Linked DNA regions of Drosophila melanogaster. The protein of the gene in region 2 interacts with the protein of the main gene of each other region in a biochemical or structural test. Each region holds a gene or a part of one and is shown on either strand. Other genes may lie near its edges.

What was found. The genes of interacting proteins can lie anywhere in the genome.
Region 1: of the proteins of rho (region 2) and spi, one has a biochemical effect on the other in vitro, tested with the Drosophila melanogaster proteins (7 studies listed by BioGRID).

What each region holds. Positions count from the first base shown.
Region 1 is NT_033779.5:19,572,940-19,579,960, reverse strand, and holds the start of spi (spitz), read left to right. Parts: upstream 1-2,645; 5' UTR 2,646-2,775; intron 2,776-4,373; exon of another isoform or gene 4,374-4,426; intron 4,427-7,021. Other genes in the region: Pmvk (phosphomevalonate kinase), read left to right, coding at 8-503; msb1l, read right to left, coding at 953-1,921, 1,987-2,163. UniProt on the Drosophila melanogaster protein: Ligand for the EGF receptor (Gurken). Involved in a number of unrelated developmental choices, for example, dorsal-ventral axis formation, glial migration, sensory organ determination, and muscle development. It is required for photoreceptor determination.
Region 2 is NT_037436.4:1,460,599-1,470,522, forward strand, and holds rho (rhomboid), read left to right. Parts: upstream 1-3,212; 5' UTR 3,213-3,532; intron 3,533-4,867; 5' UTR 4,868-4,888; coding exon 4,889-5,224; intron 5,225-5,891; coding exon 5,892-6,309; intron 6,310-6,441; coding exon 6,442-6,755; 3' UTR 6,756-8,346; downstream 8,347-9,924.

The DNA of each region.
Region 1 (7,021 bases), on a different chromosome or scaffold from region 2:
ATTCCAGATTGGGCTCCCGGTCGTGTATCGTTCGAATCTCAGAGCCCATTAAGTCGGAATGGGCTCGCAAGCTGCAGTTGGACCTGGACGCTCTCCTCGGTGATGGACCCTACAAGGAGAAGTACCGGCGCGACATGATTGTGTGGAGCGACGAGGTGCGGGCCCAGGACTACGGCTACTTCTGCCGCGTGGCCATGGAGGAGGCGCTGAGTCGCCAGCAGACGCCCTACATTCTGGTCAGCGATGTGCGGCGCAAGAACGACATCAGGTGGTTCCGGGAGACTTACGGGCCGGAACGAGTCATCACCTTGCGTCTAACATCCCGTCCAGAAACGCGGTCTGCACGGGGATGGACCTTTACCGCAGGAATAGACGATGTTCCCTCCGAGTGCGATCTGGATGATCTGGCCGACGGCTTCGACGTGGTGTTGGCCAACGACGAGGAACTCGACCAGGAGGCCATCGACATTCTGCTGGATAGGCTGCAGCTGCAGTATCGATAGAGCTTGGACCTCTCGGCTCACCATGCTTTGAACAAATGTATTTTTGATATATCACGTATTCCGGTCACAAATAGCGTAGTTAATGCAATACACTAGACAAGAATGAAGTTACGTACCTAATAGTAAATACTCTTGGTAACGAAATAGAGCTTGTGTGGCGGTTTTACTAACTTGCAACGTTTAAGACTTAATAGATTCAATGGATATACAAACTATATGTCGCTGATTATCGGTAATAGGTTACTTCAGGAATAAATAGCCCGGTTTCCAAATGTTAGAATAATACTCATGAGCAAACTGCATCCATCAATTTATGTGCACAATGTACTGGCAAGCAAACTAATAAAATGATTTATTAAAAGATGAGTAATAAAAGTATGTGTCGTGAGAAAAGACTATGATTTGGTGGGTTTTGATGGACATAAGGCAATAGTAGCTACTAAGCTGTGTTAGTAAACGGGTCCGCTGAATCCCTCTGTGCCAGAGATTATCCGCAGTTGATCGTTGAAGCTCTGCGCGGGCGGAATCTGATTCTTCTTAGAATCCTTTTCCATTGAACGGGATCGCAGATGCGGCTTATTCTTAACGCAACTGAGTGGAGTTCGCTTTTGTGCGGACAGGGGGGTACTGTTTGTCTTGGGCGTAATGGATCCTCCGGTCACCGGGGACCCCTCCTCTTGGTCAACATAGATCTTTGGCTTGTTGGCTCTGGCGGGCTTGCGCGGTGGCACACGACGCTTGTGACCCAAACGCACTCGCTCCAAATGTTTGTTCGACGGCACTTCTGGTAGCTGCTCCTCGCCAGCGACAAAGGAGGCCATGCTGCTGCCAGTGCTGAGATTCAGGGTCAGTGTTTCCAGGATGTGCTCCAGCATCTGGGCCTCGCGTGCCTCCTCCTCCTCGTCGTCGCAGAAGATGATGGGTGTGCGATCGACGCCCAGGCTGGGCGATCGGGGATCACCATGGGGCTGCTGTTCTGGCGGGGGCGTGGCCATTTTCACCTGGCCCTGCTCCAGATTCGGCTCCTGATACGGCAGCAGCTGTTGCTCGCAAGGCAAGGTTTCTTCCTGATCATAGGGCAGTGAAACAATCTCCAGGGAAATATTGTTGTGTGCAGCAGACGGCGGTGTGCCGAAGCTATCGCAGCTCTCCTCTAAATCCACTTGGGGCGGTGATGCAGGCACTGCTCTCTGTGCTGTACCCACCCTGGTGTCCACGAAGAGATCGGCGAATGTGTCATCCATATTAAGCGAACGAACCTCATCGAGGACCAGTGGAGTGCGATTCAGCTGAGGAGAGCGAGGATCGTTCAGGGAGAAGCCCTTGAGCAAACGTTTTCGCAGCATGGAGAAGGCATTTTCACTGGTGGTCACATGCTGCTCCTCCTCCTCAACGCGAGGTTTTGACGCCTGCAAGAACTACAACGCAGCCATCATTACTAGGGTTAGTAATATCAAAAAATACCTAATGCCTATAAACTCACGGTTAAAGGCGTGCGGCAGCCATTTGGTGATCGAGGATCGAGCAAAGCGTTGTTTTGCTCTCGATTCGGCGTCGTCATTTCCATTTGTTCTCGCTTTTCGCTGGCCAGGCGCATTTTGTTTAGTGTCGGCGTATCCGGCAGATATTCACCTTCCATTTTTGTTGCCTTTGCTCCCATTTTAATCAAATAATCTGACTTATTTTGCGACTTCTCACTAAATGTTGCGGGGTAAAATAAAATCGTTGCCGCGCATTTGTTTTGAAATGGCGTCGTGTGGAGTTGCCGGATCAGGAAATGCCAACTGGTAACAGTATTGTTAACGTCAGTCTAGCTATTTTCAAGCCAATTCTAGCAGTGATTACAAATGGATTTTATCACTAGTTCTTTCATTATTACTAATAACTAACTAATCGTTACAAATATAAATAGAAATTAAACAACGTTTGGGATATTTAGAACTTAAGTCTGTAATGTTTAGGTGGATTCTTCTTGTTTTACTCCTCTCAAATAAATTTATGAATTGATTTTTATTTATAGTACATAAGAAAATGTAAAATTCAGTAAACAAATAAACTAATATTAAAGTTATCAGATATTTTTTTTAATTTCGCTTTACAGCACTGATTTTTATGCTGCCTCGCGATAGTGTCATCTCCCTCCAGCTAAAGTCTGGCAACACTTGTTCATTTAAGACGCGACACAACGAATTGTACTCTTTCAGTTTTTCAAAAAGAAAATGGCATGAAAACAGGCCAAAAAAGTGCGACAAACGAAGAGCTAAATCCCAAAGTAAGTGGTAAAGTAAGTGATAAACATCCAAATGAAAGCAACCCAAATGCATACATAAATGCGCGAGTGTGTGTGCTAAATTATAACAGTAGTGACTGTGTACCTTCACGGAAAAAGGGAAATGAAGACAGGAAACTGGGTTTTTTTACTCCAGATGACTATTTTTATTGAATTTACGCAGTTGCTGTACTAAATAGGCGAGTGTTTTTGTGTATGTGTGTGTGGGCGCCGCAAGCAGCAGTAAATTCTCCTGTGTGTATATGTGTTTTTTTTTTCTATGGCCGTCTCCTTTTTACACACACTAGCGCACAATACAGCTGCGCCTTGTTTTTTGCCGACATTTTTTCTGCTTAGTTTTATTTATTTTATTTCAATTAGGCAGACAAATTATTTTGCTCGCTTTGTGGAGCCATCAATGTGGGTTAGTAAGCTAAAGTGCTGCGTAAAATTGCGCTATTGTTTTATTTGCCAATTGTAGCGCAAAAAGTAAGCAAATTGTATACACACAAACGCCAGAGCGCATGTCGTGCAGACTTTCTCTCTTGCTCCAAATTGCGAGTGTATGCATCTGCGTTCGTGTGCGTGTGAGTACTGAAAACAACCGAATTTCATTCATTGCTCATTTCCGAGAAAAACTACACGCTACACTCGTCGCCATCTGCAATTGCACCTCTGTGTGCGTAAGTCACTGTATCACAAGTACATTATATGAACTATGTATATAGGAGCCGCTGCAGTTGTGCAACATGTTAATTGATTCCAGGGGCTGCTGGGCGTGGCAGGTGCAAAAGCCCCTTCCACCTGGCTTCTATTTACAGAAACTTCTTCCCACTTCCAGAGTTCAACATTCTTGCTCTTCCCGTCGCTTGACCGCGTTTTTCAAACATTCCACGAGCGGTCTTAGCACACTCACACCGGCACGCTATGTGTGTATACATACGTATGTACGTATATTGATTTCAATCAACTTTGAAGCGCGCTCTGGCCTTCTCCTTCGCTCATTCGGCGGTGTGCTATGCTCTGCCTGTCTCTCTCGTGCTCATCTGTCAATTGAGCACCACGTCCGTTTGTCGGCTCATCAGCAATTTACACAGACACACACTTCACCGCGCTGCATCCGTGTGGGTAAATTCCATTTCCTGTTTATAATATTGCGGCGTCTTGTCTGTCTGTCTGTCTGGCGTACAGCGGAGACGCAAACCAGCGTCCCTTTCGCCTTTCGTTCCGCTCATCTCGCTGCACAATGGATCGATCCTAAATAAGCATCTTTTAAAAAGTATTCAAAGTTTGTAAATCGTAACGCATAGCAAATATATTGTTATCGTCATAGTTTGTCATGGTTATAGTTTTGTTAGCTTATTTTTGTTATTCTAAACATTTTAAATTAATACTACATCTTTTTGCAAATCGGATATCCGTCTACTTTCGCTCTTATCCCACGTACATATCTCCCACTTACGATCATCCGCGAGTTTCGGTTCCGTAGCACGTTACCTTACGCATCGCAACCACTGTGCCGTTGGCATTGGAACGCTGACCGCTTTGCGGCTGGGAACGATGGGGAATCGGAACATCCGAATGCGACGCGCTCCGCTCTTATTCGAATTCCCAGCCTGATCCGGCTGTCACTGCTCTTGTTGTTGCGGCAGCGGTGAGTTGAGTAGTACAGTACGTGCCACTTCCTTTACATTCAGAAAAATAAAAATTGCTCACACACACTCATGCATGTATACGCCTAAAGCATACATAAACAGACGTTCCGGACAGACAGACAAACATTGAGTGGAGCGTTGGGAGGGGAGCGGTTGCTTGGCGTCTGCGCCGTGTGTTGTTGCTTTTATGCTGCCCCTACTTATTGTTCTTGTACAGTTGCAAAGCCACTCACATGCGTGTGTGTGTGTGTGTGTGGAGCCAAAACAGTGAAAACGAGTTTGATGTCTGGCTAGATATGGCAACTCTGTCGGCGAGTGCACATCCCCCCAACCCCAAGCCCCAAGCACCCGCTTATTAGAAGAGAAATACCGCAGAGCGTTGTTGTTGATTTTACGTAAGAAGGCCGTCGAACTCAGCATAGAAAATGGTGAGCGAAAGAAAGAGCGGCCGCGAGATAGATGAAATATGGGGGCCCACGACCAGAACCACAGCCAGAGAGAGTGTGCATGCAAATAGGTGCGAGTGTGTGCGTCTAATGATTACCGTTACTATTTGCATGTTGTCTAGTCAGACGTCTCGCGACCCAGACTGTGCGACCCACCAGGCAATTGGCGAAAAATTCTTCGTCGTGACCTTTCATCGTCATCGTTTCAACCGGACATCCAAGCTATATGCATATGTATGTATGTATGTGTGCGTGACAGTAATGTTGTTTATTGATTTTATTAGCATTGCCTTCGAATTGGCTTTCCGAATGAGCATACAAATATATACGACAATGACGGTAATGGCGGTAAAAACGTTAGCAAATTGCAAGAATGCACTGAAAAAAATTCATACAGTGGGGCAATTAAAAGTACATTAATGTCTCTAGGGCTCTAGGAACTCTGCTGGTTCGTAACATTTAGATTGCAGATATGAACTAACTAATATCGGCCAAATTACGCGAAAGAAAACCAATTACAAAGCGGTCTGGAGGAATCCTTCGCAAAGCATTGCTAGTGCTGTGACTGCAGCTGTACACTTGCCACTCAGTTGCGTGCATTTCTGCATTTCTGCCGGCTGTGGTTCAACGTCCTAAGCCGCACACAACAAGTGCAACAATTGTAACATCAACAAAGCAACAGAACACCGCAAAAGGGGCAGAAAAGCGGTGTGGCAAAGAAGCACAACTTGATGGGGGAATCGGATTGGGAATGGGAATGCACAAATGCAGAAGCGAAGCGACGAAGATGGCAAACGGAATGAGGGCAGGTCCTAGGGCAATCCATTAACATTTTGCCCATCGCCCATCCCCCATCATCATCGTCATCGTCATCGTCGTCATCTTCTTGGTATTATTGTACAGTTGAACCTGTAGCACTGAGTCCCGTCCCGCTGGGCTGTGAACTAAGCCGATTGATTGTCCAAATCTCACCAGAATCGAATTGCCATCCGGGTGACTCTTGGTTTCTTTCTTTTCCTGCCTTTTTCTACTTTTCTCCCGCTTTTGGATGCATTCCGACATAACCCAGAAAGCGTGTGCCAGGTTGTTGCTGTTGTGTCGCTTGTGACGTCAATTGGCTGTGGAATGGTGTCTGCGGCCCACATTGCGGACCGACTGCCCACCGGAAACGGGTAGTTGTGCCGCTTTCATACATGCAGTACATGTACATAGGTCGAATCCGCCTTATTAGAGGTGGAGAAACATCGATGATTCCTCGAAAAACATCGATGTTTGTGATTTTTTGAAAAAATCGACGACATCGACGTTGGCATTTCAGTAAAGGAATTCCAAAATCTCATTTACCTGTGAAAACCGCGCCCCAAATGTTTTAGATCGCGTATGGATTTTCCCAGAATATATACATAAAATAAATATATGTAATTTTATAACATAAAGTTACCTCTTGGGAGCTCTCGAAGCTGCAGCACACCTTTTTACCATATTTTTGAGTGAATGTGCAGTTATTGGAGAAACCCTCTTCCAGCCCTGATACGCGAATCTCCAGCAAGTTGCTCCCATTTCAAGGGGCGTTGAATCGCGAGAATCTGGAAAGTCAAAATAGCAATATTTATGGCAACGACATCGGTCGGAGCTTTATTTTTGGCGCGCTTCTCGAGCGGCCAGAAGAAATTTCCCGAGGAATGGAATGTTGTTTACTTGCGCGCCTGCGCATCGCATCCGCATCCTCAACCTTCGGCCAGTTCCATGAAATCTGCAGTGGGGCCGAACTCGTCTGGGTTTCATCCTGTTCGTCCTGTTTGTCCGGCTACCTGCCCCGCCCCTGCGCACCGCCACGCCCTCCGCTCTCGAGCGCATTTTTCCTCTTTTTTTTTGTGCTTTTGCACCGCCGCTCTGCGTCGCTTCTTGTTTGTGTGCCTTTTGCTCCGCCAAGCTTAAAAGTGGCGGCGTCGGCGACGTCGTGTCAATAACATGTTGATCCTACATCGTGCGAAATCTTCTGGCAACACCAAAACAAAAACCAAAACAAGAGAGAGCCCTTTTTACGAAGCGTAACTACTCAGATATACCCTTTAGTCCAATAGGTAATATCATTTGTTTGCAATGACAGCTATAGGTGAGTGATTCCTATTGAATTTTGTATTGTGT
Region 2 (9,924 bases):
ATTTAAATTGTTTTTTCCCATGTACCCATGCCATTATCTGATTTTCTTATCCGCAACGCACCAAGCTCTATTTATTTATTCATTCTGATGACTTACTCCAGAGTCAGAGCCAATTTGGATTTGGCCATTGGAAACACTGTTTGCCCAGCTCCCTGACCAGCCTTCCGCTTTGTCTCAGCGTCTGGGCGAAATGCGGGCATCAACATTTGTGTTTGCACTGGTGTCTCCTTTTGGCTGCCAGAAATGCCAGTGTCGACATGTCCTGGGAACCATTCCAAATTCCGAGCGGTCTTCGGCATACATACAAATGTCCTTTTTTGGACAAAACTGCTTATTTTCAGTCCTGCTGCTGCACTGACCGCAAACCCAATGCCGTTGTCCTGCGTTCGTTTTGGTTTCTGGGCTTCTCGATTCGGTTTTGGGATTTGGGATGCACAATAATTTGAACAATTGCTACTTGAATGCAATGTTTATGTTCAATTATCGTGGCAGCACCACTGACCCAAGCGGTGGACTCCGTTCGGTTCGTTGCAGTTCATTGATTGACATTTTTATTATGCATATTCGCTGGTCTGTTATCCTTGCTACGCTCCCTCCCTTCCTTCCTTCCTTCCTTCCGTCCACCAACGCTGTTCATAACAATAAATTTCCAATTTGTCTTTAGCATTGGCCATAATGACGTCCACAAAAGAGACCTTAATCCAATAGATAAATTTCGAGCATTCCCTGGCTTCTTGGCCAGGACTCTTTGCTCCTTTTATGCGAAGGGAGACACAACTCCCACGATTCCTTCGACTGTTGTGGACAGTCTCATTACTTACTCCATTATTATTGGCCTTCATTCTCAATCAATTTTTCAATTCCACTCCCATTGCCATTTGCAATTGGCCCGTCAAGTTTGTATTTCGCCCCTTTGGTATCTTCAACGCCCGTCACTTCTGGCATTTCCATTGTTATTTGTTTGTTTGCAAATTTGTTCAAGAAGTTGTCGTTATATTCTATTTCGCAAGCTTTTCCTCTGCTCAAAATCAAAATGATTAAAACAACAGTTTGATACGAATTTTAATTCCCCTTTTTGCTGCGGAGTCAGTTAAGTGAGTCGCTTTCAGGACTCAGGGCATCATCCAGATCGCACGATCCCATTTGCATCTGCCTTCTCAGAAGCTGCTTGAAAGACGCGCCCCTGTCGGATGATTAGTGCTAAGATCCTTGGGCAGGATGGAAAAATGGGAAAACATGCGGTGGGAAAAACACACATCGCGAAACATTTGGCGCAACTTGCGGAAGACAAGTGCGGCTGCAACAAAAAGTCGCGAAACGAAACTCTGGGAAGCGGAAAAAGGACACCTTGCTGTGCGGCGGGAAGCGCAAGTGGCGGGCGGAATTTCCTGATTCGCGATGCCATGAGGCACTCGCATATGTTGAGCACATGTTTTGGGGGAAATTCCCGGGCGACGGGCCAGGAATCAACGTCCTGTCCTGCGTGGGAAAAGCCCACGTCCTACCCACGCCCACTCGGTTACCTGAATTCGAGCTCGAGTGTTTTGGGTGGCTGAGATTGCTTTGGTACGGTGGCTGACCTTGCCAGTGCCAGTGGGTCCATGTCCGTGGAGTGCTGGCAATGCGTGTCTGGCACAATGAAAACGCAGCAATGGAGGATGGAGGAACTCGACCTGAGGGAACGTGGGAAAAAAGGATTTACGATGAAGATGAGCTGAGAAACTCCGAGCTGATGACGTGCCTGGTCATGGGCATGTAGTGCAGCAACTGTGTTTTCGTATCTGCTTACCTGTTGCACGCACATGTTAAAAAGTCATCATAAATCTCAGTGGACGAGGACGAGGACTCTGAATCTGTTTCGCCTCTCTTTTGCGCCCAGTGAAAATATTTTCACTTTTCATGCGGGAGTTTTCATGCCGCCGATGAGGATGACTGGCCAGGATGGGTATATCTATCTATTAGATCTGTGTAAATTCCCAGCTTATCATGCAAAACACGTAACCACGTCGTCTCGATCCTTTCGGCCAGGAAGCCGAAAGCTACTCCTTTTGTGCAACATGCCGTGGTGACCTTTCCCGCGAACTCGTGACTGCAACGGCTCAGGCTGCCTAATAATTTGTATAAATATTTATTTTTGCTACCGATTTCTATCTGCTCGCTCAACGCCTCCGAGGGAGCTCTCGCTGGAAAAGGTGTGAAATTCGAAACCCCTGACAATGATGATCTTCTACGGGGAATCGGGGAATCAAGGGGAATCAGGACGGGGCTCGGTTTCGAATTCGATTCCATGACATGTTCTGCATTGCTGAGCCGATATACTTTATTTGCATTTTTGGCCACTTGCAGTGGCACGTTCCCTTAAAAACAACAGAATTATAGAAGCAATGTTTTAGCTATTGAACGGTTACGTATCAATAGAGGAATTTTAAAACTATTTCTAAGCAAGCAAATAGTTTTGCTAGTTTTTTTAGTTTAGAAACTAATTTACATTACCATTGTGAGCAATTGTGACATTGAAGTTATTTCTGGAAACTATTCGAAAGTGCGGAGCTAAAGAAAAAGCGACTGCTACTACCGATTTCATCATCTTTAATTGTGTTAACAATTTGTTTGACTTTCTTGTCTTTGTTTAAAGGCATCGACGGGAAACTCAGCAAAACAATGGACTTGGTACCTTTACAAATACAACTAAAATGAGCTTAAACCTCTTCTAGTACGTTAATATATATTACTAGTAATAATATAAAATGAGATAAAAGTCGGTTTTGCTGAAAGGCAATTAAACGCAAAGGCCTTGCTAGAATTTCGCAACATTGCAGAGATTAGAGCTCAGATCTGCGTAGTAGGCCATGACAAAGCGCAGATCGCTGGAGATCGGCGAGAAGACAGAAGACAGAAGACGACGCATTTGTTAGTCAGTGGCATTGGCAAGAAGTGCTGGCCCGTCTGGATGAGTCATTCACCGTTATGTGGCAAGGCGGCAGATGGGGGAAACCAGTGAATAACCAGCGACGAAAAACCTTCGAACCGCTCGCCTCGAGCTGCAGCAGTCGAGTGACTGCAGTGCGCACACCCCACCCACCCACACAAGACAAGATCCGGATGTGCCATGCAACACTTATACGGCCGAACCAAAACACAACATGTTCGAAGTGGCTCTCTTATACTGCACCGCACAGCGAGCACTTATAAAGGCCGGCTGCCTTGCCTTTCGAAAGTCAGTTGCGTGCGAGCCGCGAGCGCGAGATCATCAAACTGAGAAAGTCGGACTGCGACTCGAAACTGAAATTGAAACTGAAAGAAAGAAATATTCAAATTGTCGTGTGTGTGGGTGCAAGCAGAGAATATATATCTCAAGAATATCTGAATACAAGCTCCTGGATTTACGAGCAGCAAAACTAAGTTACCAATGTGCGAGCCGAAAAAAGCGAGTGAAAAACGTGCGAATATGCCAGCTAACTAAAGACATTTGGATTACAAGAAACCCACGCATTTTGGATTATAAACATTGCGACAGGCAGAAAAACCTAAGGTAAGCCCCCGACCCTAATGAGAAAATGCGCGAGAGCTAAAAGATACAAGATACAAAATATGAGTTGCGAGATACAAGCTACAAGCCACAAGGGATATGCAAGAAATGTGCAAATTGCAATAGAAATTGTCACAGCGGCAAAACAAAAGCATTTCAACTTAGAGGCGTAATGAGTTTGTTCAACCTGTGTGCCCGCTCGCTCTATCTCTCTCGCTCGCACCCTTTGCCCGTTTTTTTTTTTAGGGGTGCGAGTGCAGCAGAAAGCATAAAAAATGCAAATTACACCGCGGGCCATGTGAAACTATGTTTCTGACCAAACAGACAAAAAAAAAAAATGAGAAGAAAGAAATGATGAAAAGAAGGCCGAATGAATTAATTCATTATGTCTTAAAGCCCGCTTTCGACATCTCTTCTTCATGCTCGCATGGACATTCGGTGCAGTCTGCAATTAAAGTTAATAAATAAATTAATTAATAAGCGGCCGACTGCGATTTCGTGCCTTATTGAAATTGCTAGGCAACCGAAATGAAGAACATGAAAAGAGCGCCAGCCAAGGCACGGCACCCACTCACTTTTTCGAGCAGTGTAGGTAGCAGACACAAAAGCAACAACGGTGCGTGTGTGCAATGCGACTTGAGGCGAAAGAGAGAGAGGGGGCATATGCGAACACAATGAGTGTGAGTGGGAGAAACGCGTTTTTTTAAGTTTATTTTTTTTTTTTTTGTTGAGCAAGGCAATGAATTTGTTATTTTTTTTCCTTGTTGCGACGAACAGTTGTTTGGGGAATTTAAGAAGATTTGTGCTGTGACTGTAATTGAATCGAATGCGATTAACATAATTTGTGAGGAAATGTCTCTGGGCAATGAATTACAATAATGCCTGGCCATTAGCTGATTAGTTGGCCATTAGCGAAGATGATTTCAGGGCTGAAAGTGCAGTTTATGTAACGGCGTAGATGCTACACAAGCTACATCTTCAATTTTGTCCAGCTAATTTCGGGCCACAAAAGCAAACTTGGCCCATCAAATTTTATGGTTAGCTCACACAAGCTGACCCAGTTTTCCCTTCGGGGAAAAGCAGCCAGGAAGTTGCAGGCATCGGAATCCGTGTCCCAGGCCATAAACAAAATTCTTACCCACAAAGAAGCAGGCTTTTCCTTCGCTTTTCTTTTATTTCTGCTGCATTTCCCCACACACTCTGGTTTTTCTGAAGTGTTGTAATTGCTCTTGTTTTGTGCTGCGTTTTATGAATAACTTATGCACTTAATTGATTTTTGTTTATTGTTCGGTTCAAGTTAATTAATTACACACTTTATGCGCTCCTCTCTTTCTCCAGAATTTCTTCAACGGCGCCAGCATGGAGAACTTAACGCAGAATGTAAACGAAACCAAGGTGGATTTGGGCCAGGAGAAGGAGAAGGAGGCGTCGCAGGAGGAGGAGCATGCCACCGCCGCCAAGGAGACCATCATTGACATTCCCGCCGCGTGCTCCAGTTCCTCCAACTCCTCGTCGTACGACACCGATTGCAGCACGGCGAGCAGCACCTGCTGCACCCGCCAAGGCGAGCACATCTACATGCAACGCGAGGCCATCCCGGCCACGCCACTTCCGGAGTCGGAGGATATCGGCCTGCTGAAGTACGTCCACCGCCAGCACTGGCCCTGGTTCATCCTAGTGATCTCCATCATTGAGGTAAGCACACACACAGCGAACTCAGTAACTCAACCCATTAAATCAAAGAAGCCGCAAACTTTCATCCCAAGAGCGATAAAAATGATATAGGGGGCGGAAAGCGGCGACGAAGGGCGGAAGTTTTCCGAGAGTTTTCCTCGCTTTTCGTGTTTCGTTTTCTGCGTCTGACTCGCTGGCGCCCCCGAAAATCGATTGTAAACAAGTTGAACAACAAAACAGCCGAAGGAAAAAAAGCGAACAGAAAAGTTTATGAAACCAGACCGTTCGTAGTTTTTTCTTTTTTTTATTTTTTAAGGGCAGACCAAAAATTGTCATGTGAAAAACAGTGGAAGATGAGAAGATGGAAATGATAGTTAGTTTGATAGCGAAATTGGTAACTTGGAACATTGAGTTTAAAATAAACAATACACTTTTACATGACCCCTTACATTCGTATTGGAAATAATTTGCTTCGTATAGAAACTAGCACGAATATCAAATAAACAGGGCGGCCCACGGGGCGTATGAGTTTAGTGAGTTTGAAGCCCTGCCAAGTTGGCAGGACTCGCCCCTAAGCATTCTCATAAGACTTTATTTGGAACGTGGTCGCGTGCCAGACAGCAACAACATAAATCAGAGCGAGAGCCCAGAACTAACCCCCAATTCTTTGCGTCTCTGTCCATTTTAGATTGCCATCTTCGCCTACGACCGCTACACAATGCCCGCCCAGAATTTCGGGCTACCCGTTCCGATTCCGTCGGATTCGGTGCTGGTCTATCGGCCGGACCGGCGTCTGCAGGTGTGGCGCTTCTTTAGCTACATGTTCCTGCACGCCAACTGGTTCCACCTGGGCTTCAATATCGTCATCCAGCTGTTTTTTGGCATTCCCCTGGAGGTGATGCACGGCACGGCCAGGATCGGCGTGATCTACATGGCGGGCGTTTTTGCCGGATCCCTGGGCACCAGTGTCGTCGACTCGGAGGTCTTCCTGGTGGGCGCCAGCGGTGGCGTCTATGCCCTGTTGGCCGCACATCTGGCCAACATTACACTGAACTATGCGCACATGAAGAGCGCATCCACGCAACTCGGATCCGTTGTCATCTTTGGTGAGTTTCCCCACACCTTATGACTAGAATCTATAGAACCTAATCTATCCTACCTAAACACGAATTTGTCACATCTTTTTCTTCTATGTTTAACTTAACTAACTTGAATCCCTTCTGTTCTTCCATTTGCAGTCTCCTGCGATCTGGGCTATGCTCTCTACACCCAATACTTCGATGGAAGCGCCTTCGCCAAGGGTCCCCAGGTGTCGTACATTGCCCACCTGACGGGAGCCCTGGCAGGACTAACGATCGGCTTTCTGGTGCTAAAGAACTTCGGTCACCGAGAGTACGAGCAGCTCATCTGGTGGCTAGCGTTGGGCGTCTACTGTGCCTTCACCGTCTTCGCCATCGTTTTCAACCTGATCAACACGGTGACCGCTCAGCTGATGGAGGAGCAGGGTGAGGTGATTACCCAGCATCTGTTGCACGACCTGGGAGTGTCCTAAGTTTGAGGTTCGGAGTCGTCAGCATGCTCGCAGGGATTCGGAATCTGCTTGAGCTTCAGGAGAGATCGAGAGACAGAGAGTTGGTGGAAAAGAAAAGTTCACTCAACGATTTAGTTCAAAACTAATTCGATATTCGTTTGGCTTTTGCTTTTCGTTAGCATTATCTCGTTATCGTTACCGTTTGCAGTTAAACGTTTCAGTTCCGAAACATAGTACACAAACTCAAAAAAAAAAAAAACAAATCAAGAGAAATACACTGGACAAAAAGAAAGTGCGAGGAGTGAGGAGAACATAAACCGAAGCCGAAACGTGTAAACAAATGTTGTGATAGAACCAAAGACTGAATTTATTTCGCGTGTAAAAACCAAGTAAAAATCAAGAGGAAAATCAAAGAGGAGAAACAGAACTAATCGCCTCTCGCTATGATTTAAATGATTTATCCATGTTTTCAATTAATGGTTTGTCTGTTTTCTTAAATTATGTATTTATTGGCCGCAATTACTACGAATGAATCGAATCGAAGCATCAGCAAACTGTATCAAATTGTTTATACATCCATAAGCATAATGTGCTCCGAATTGTAGGATTTAGTGTTATAATTTATATATATTTAGGTATAACTAGCCCTCCTAACAAATTGTTTCAAATTGTAAATACTATTAAGTCGCACACTAGTCAAACAACAACAACAGCAACAGCAAAAACAACAAAAAAAATATGGAAAACCACAGCAAAGAACCATTCAATTCAGATCAATTAAGCAAATCGAGTTAAATTAAATTAAATTATACTAAAGTCACTTAATGCGTTACAAAATCGAGCATCGTAATCCCCTACACACACACACACACACACACACTCGAAAGTATTACTAATTATATTTATTTATGGTAGGGCAGCGAGGGTTTATTAATTCGTCAATTGAGCGAACTATTTATTTATTTATTTATTTAATAATTTAGTGAAATTCACACAAACAAGCACGAAAAAACAACAACAACACAAGAGAGAGAAGAAACAAACCAATTCAACTGTAAAAATATCCAATTGAAAAATACACACGAAAAGCCAAAGAAAATAAAAAATCAAAACATTTCAAGAATACAACAGTAATAACAAAATACAAGCAAAAGCGTTTTCATTTCCCATTTTGTATTTTTATTTTACTTTCAGTTTTTGGCTGTCGGCTCGCTTGGTTTTAATTCCCACAATTTAAGGGCAATAAATAATCGAGCCAGCAGATTATCAAGATACTTGACATATTGACCGATACACATATATATATACATATATATATATATATATCGTACGCAAATAGAGAAATATTCAAAGTAATCGCCGAATGAAAACAGCTAATCTGGCATAAAGGCCAGCAAAGCGTAAGCCAAAATAGAATCCTTTTGGGCCACAAAACCCCAAGATAGCATACTCGATTTTCCAAAATAATGGATCCACACTCCACCCGATGAAAAAAAAAAAACAAAACAAAAAAATAAAATAAAACAAACTAGGAAACGGAAATGTTCAGCACGAGACAAGGGACAGAAGAAATGCAAATAGCAAAAAATTATAGATAAATAAATAAGGAGAGAAAAATTGAACAAAAATAAATGTCTAAATTATATATGAATTTCTCGTTTTCTTCACAAATAACTCAGGGCGAGTTGAGCTTGTGTATGTATGTATCCTCTGCTGGATGAGTTTTTTGGGGGGCAGCCCAATCAATATTTGCTCCACATAAATATGGCAATTCAAAGCGAAAGGTTGCAACTACAACTAAGACTCGAAGAAAATCCTTAATTAATACCCACTCCGCAGAAGACTTGTGTCAACGAATTTTCCCACTCGAATGTTGCCACTGCCACCAATCGATAGTTGCCCCAATATGAAATATGAAGGCGCAGCATACGCATTTTGTAATAATTCATATTGTCTGTGATTCCACATCTCATGCGAGTATTATATTCAATCCAACTGGATTAGCAGGACTAAGTCCATGAATTTCCAAATCGGCATTCAACTCGAAGGACTTGAAGCGAACCAAAAACATTTGCCAGCTGTTTGCGTTTAGTCGACTAATGCATACCTATTAGCAATAAGCACTTAATAGAAAACTAAAGCAGAAACATGCTGATCGAGTACAACTAATCGAAATTGTTGAGGATATTCTCAATTAGTCCTGTACTTCCCACCTAATTTAAGAAATACAAACCTACTCTTTTACTAAAAAAGTACAGGGTATAATCCCCCAATATTTCACTTATTAATGATGCATAATCAAGGAAGCGTTGGCAAATCAAAGATGCTTGATTACATCGGAAAATGAATAAAACACTTGGATGAAACAGTAAAATGTACGTAAGTAATACAATTCACATAGACTAAGAACATCTTTTTTGTGTTCCGCTAACTGCAATTAGTAATTGTGCATAATCAGAGCTGAATGATTGCACCTGTCAATTAATTTCCGCTTAAATTATACAATTACGGGCGATGGGCGATACAAGAGATACAGCAACACAATAAAGCAGATGTGCCTCCAAAATGGGGCACAAGCTTAGTGCCTTCGGATTTTGGGGGACGAAGTAGACACTCACCGCCACTTGCAACTCCCAAATCCCAACGCCCGTGCAAGAAGACAGACAAGCCAACCTCATCCAATCCAATCCATTCCAATCCAATCCAATCCAATCCCATCCGAAACGCACCCGGAGAGTCTAGGCAGTTTGAGGAGCAAGATTTATGGTAGACAGGAGCTGCCGCCTCGTGGACATCAAATTGAAATTCAGGCACAATGTCAACAGCAATCGAGGACGAGGTCAGACAGGCTCAGACGACGGCGGCAACTGCGAGTGCGAGTGCCAGTGCCAGTGCCAGTGCGAGTTGGAGTCGGAATCAAGAGCTGGCTCTGCGGAGCCGAAAAATCCACATAAATAACGCGGGCATCCAACTGACCCCCTCTCAGCCCGTTGGCATCTCGTCCAGCTCGTTTCTGCGAATGGCAGGTGCAACTCAATCAACGCTCCTCGCCTCGCCGCCCTTCGCGGTATTTTGCCACAACGTTGCATGTCATCTGTTTGGGGCTCGGTCGCTGTAGCTGTGGACAGAAGCTGCGGCTTCGACTGGGAGCCACCTGCCCAAAAGTTGACTTTGAACGTTTTTGTTTACA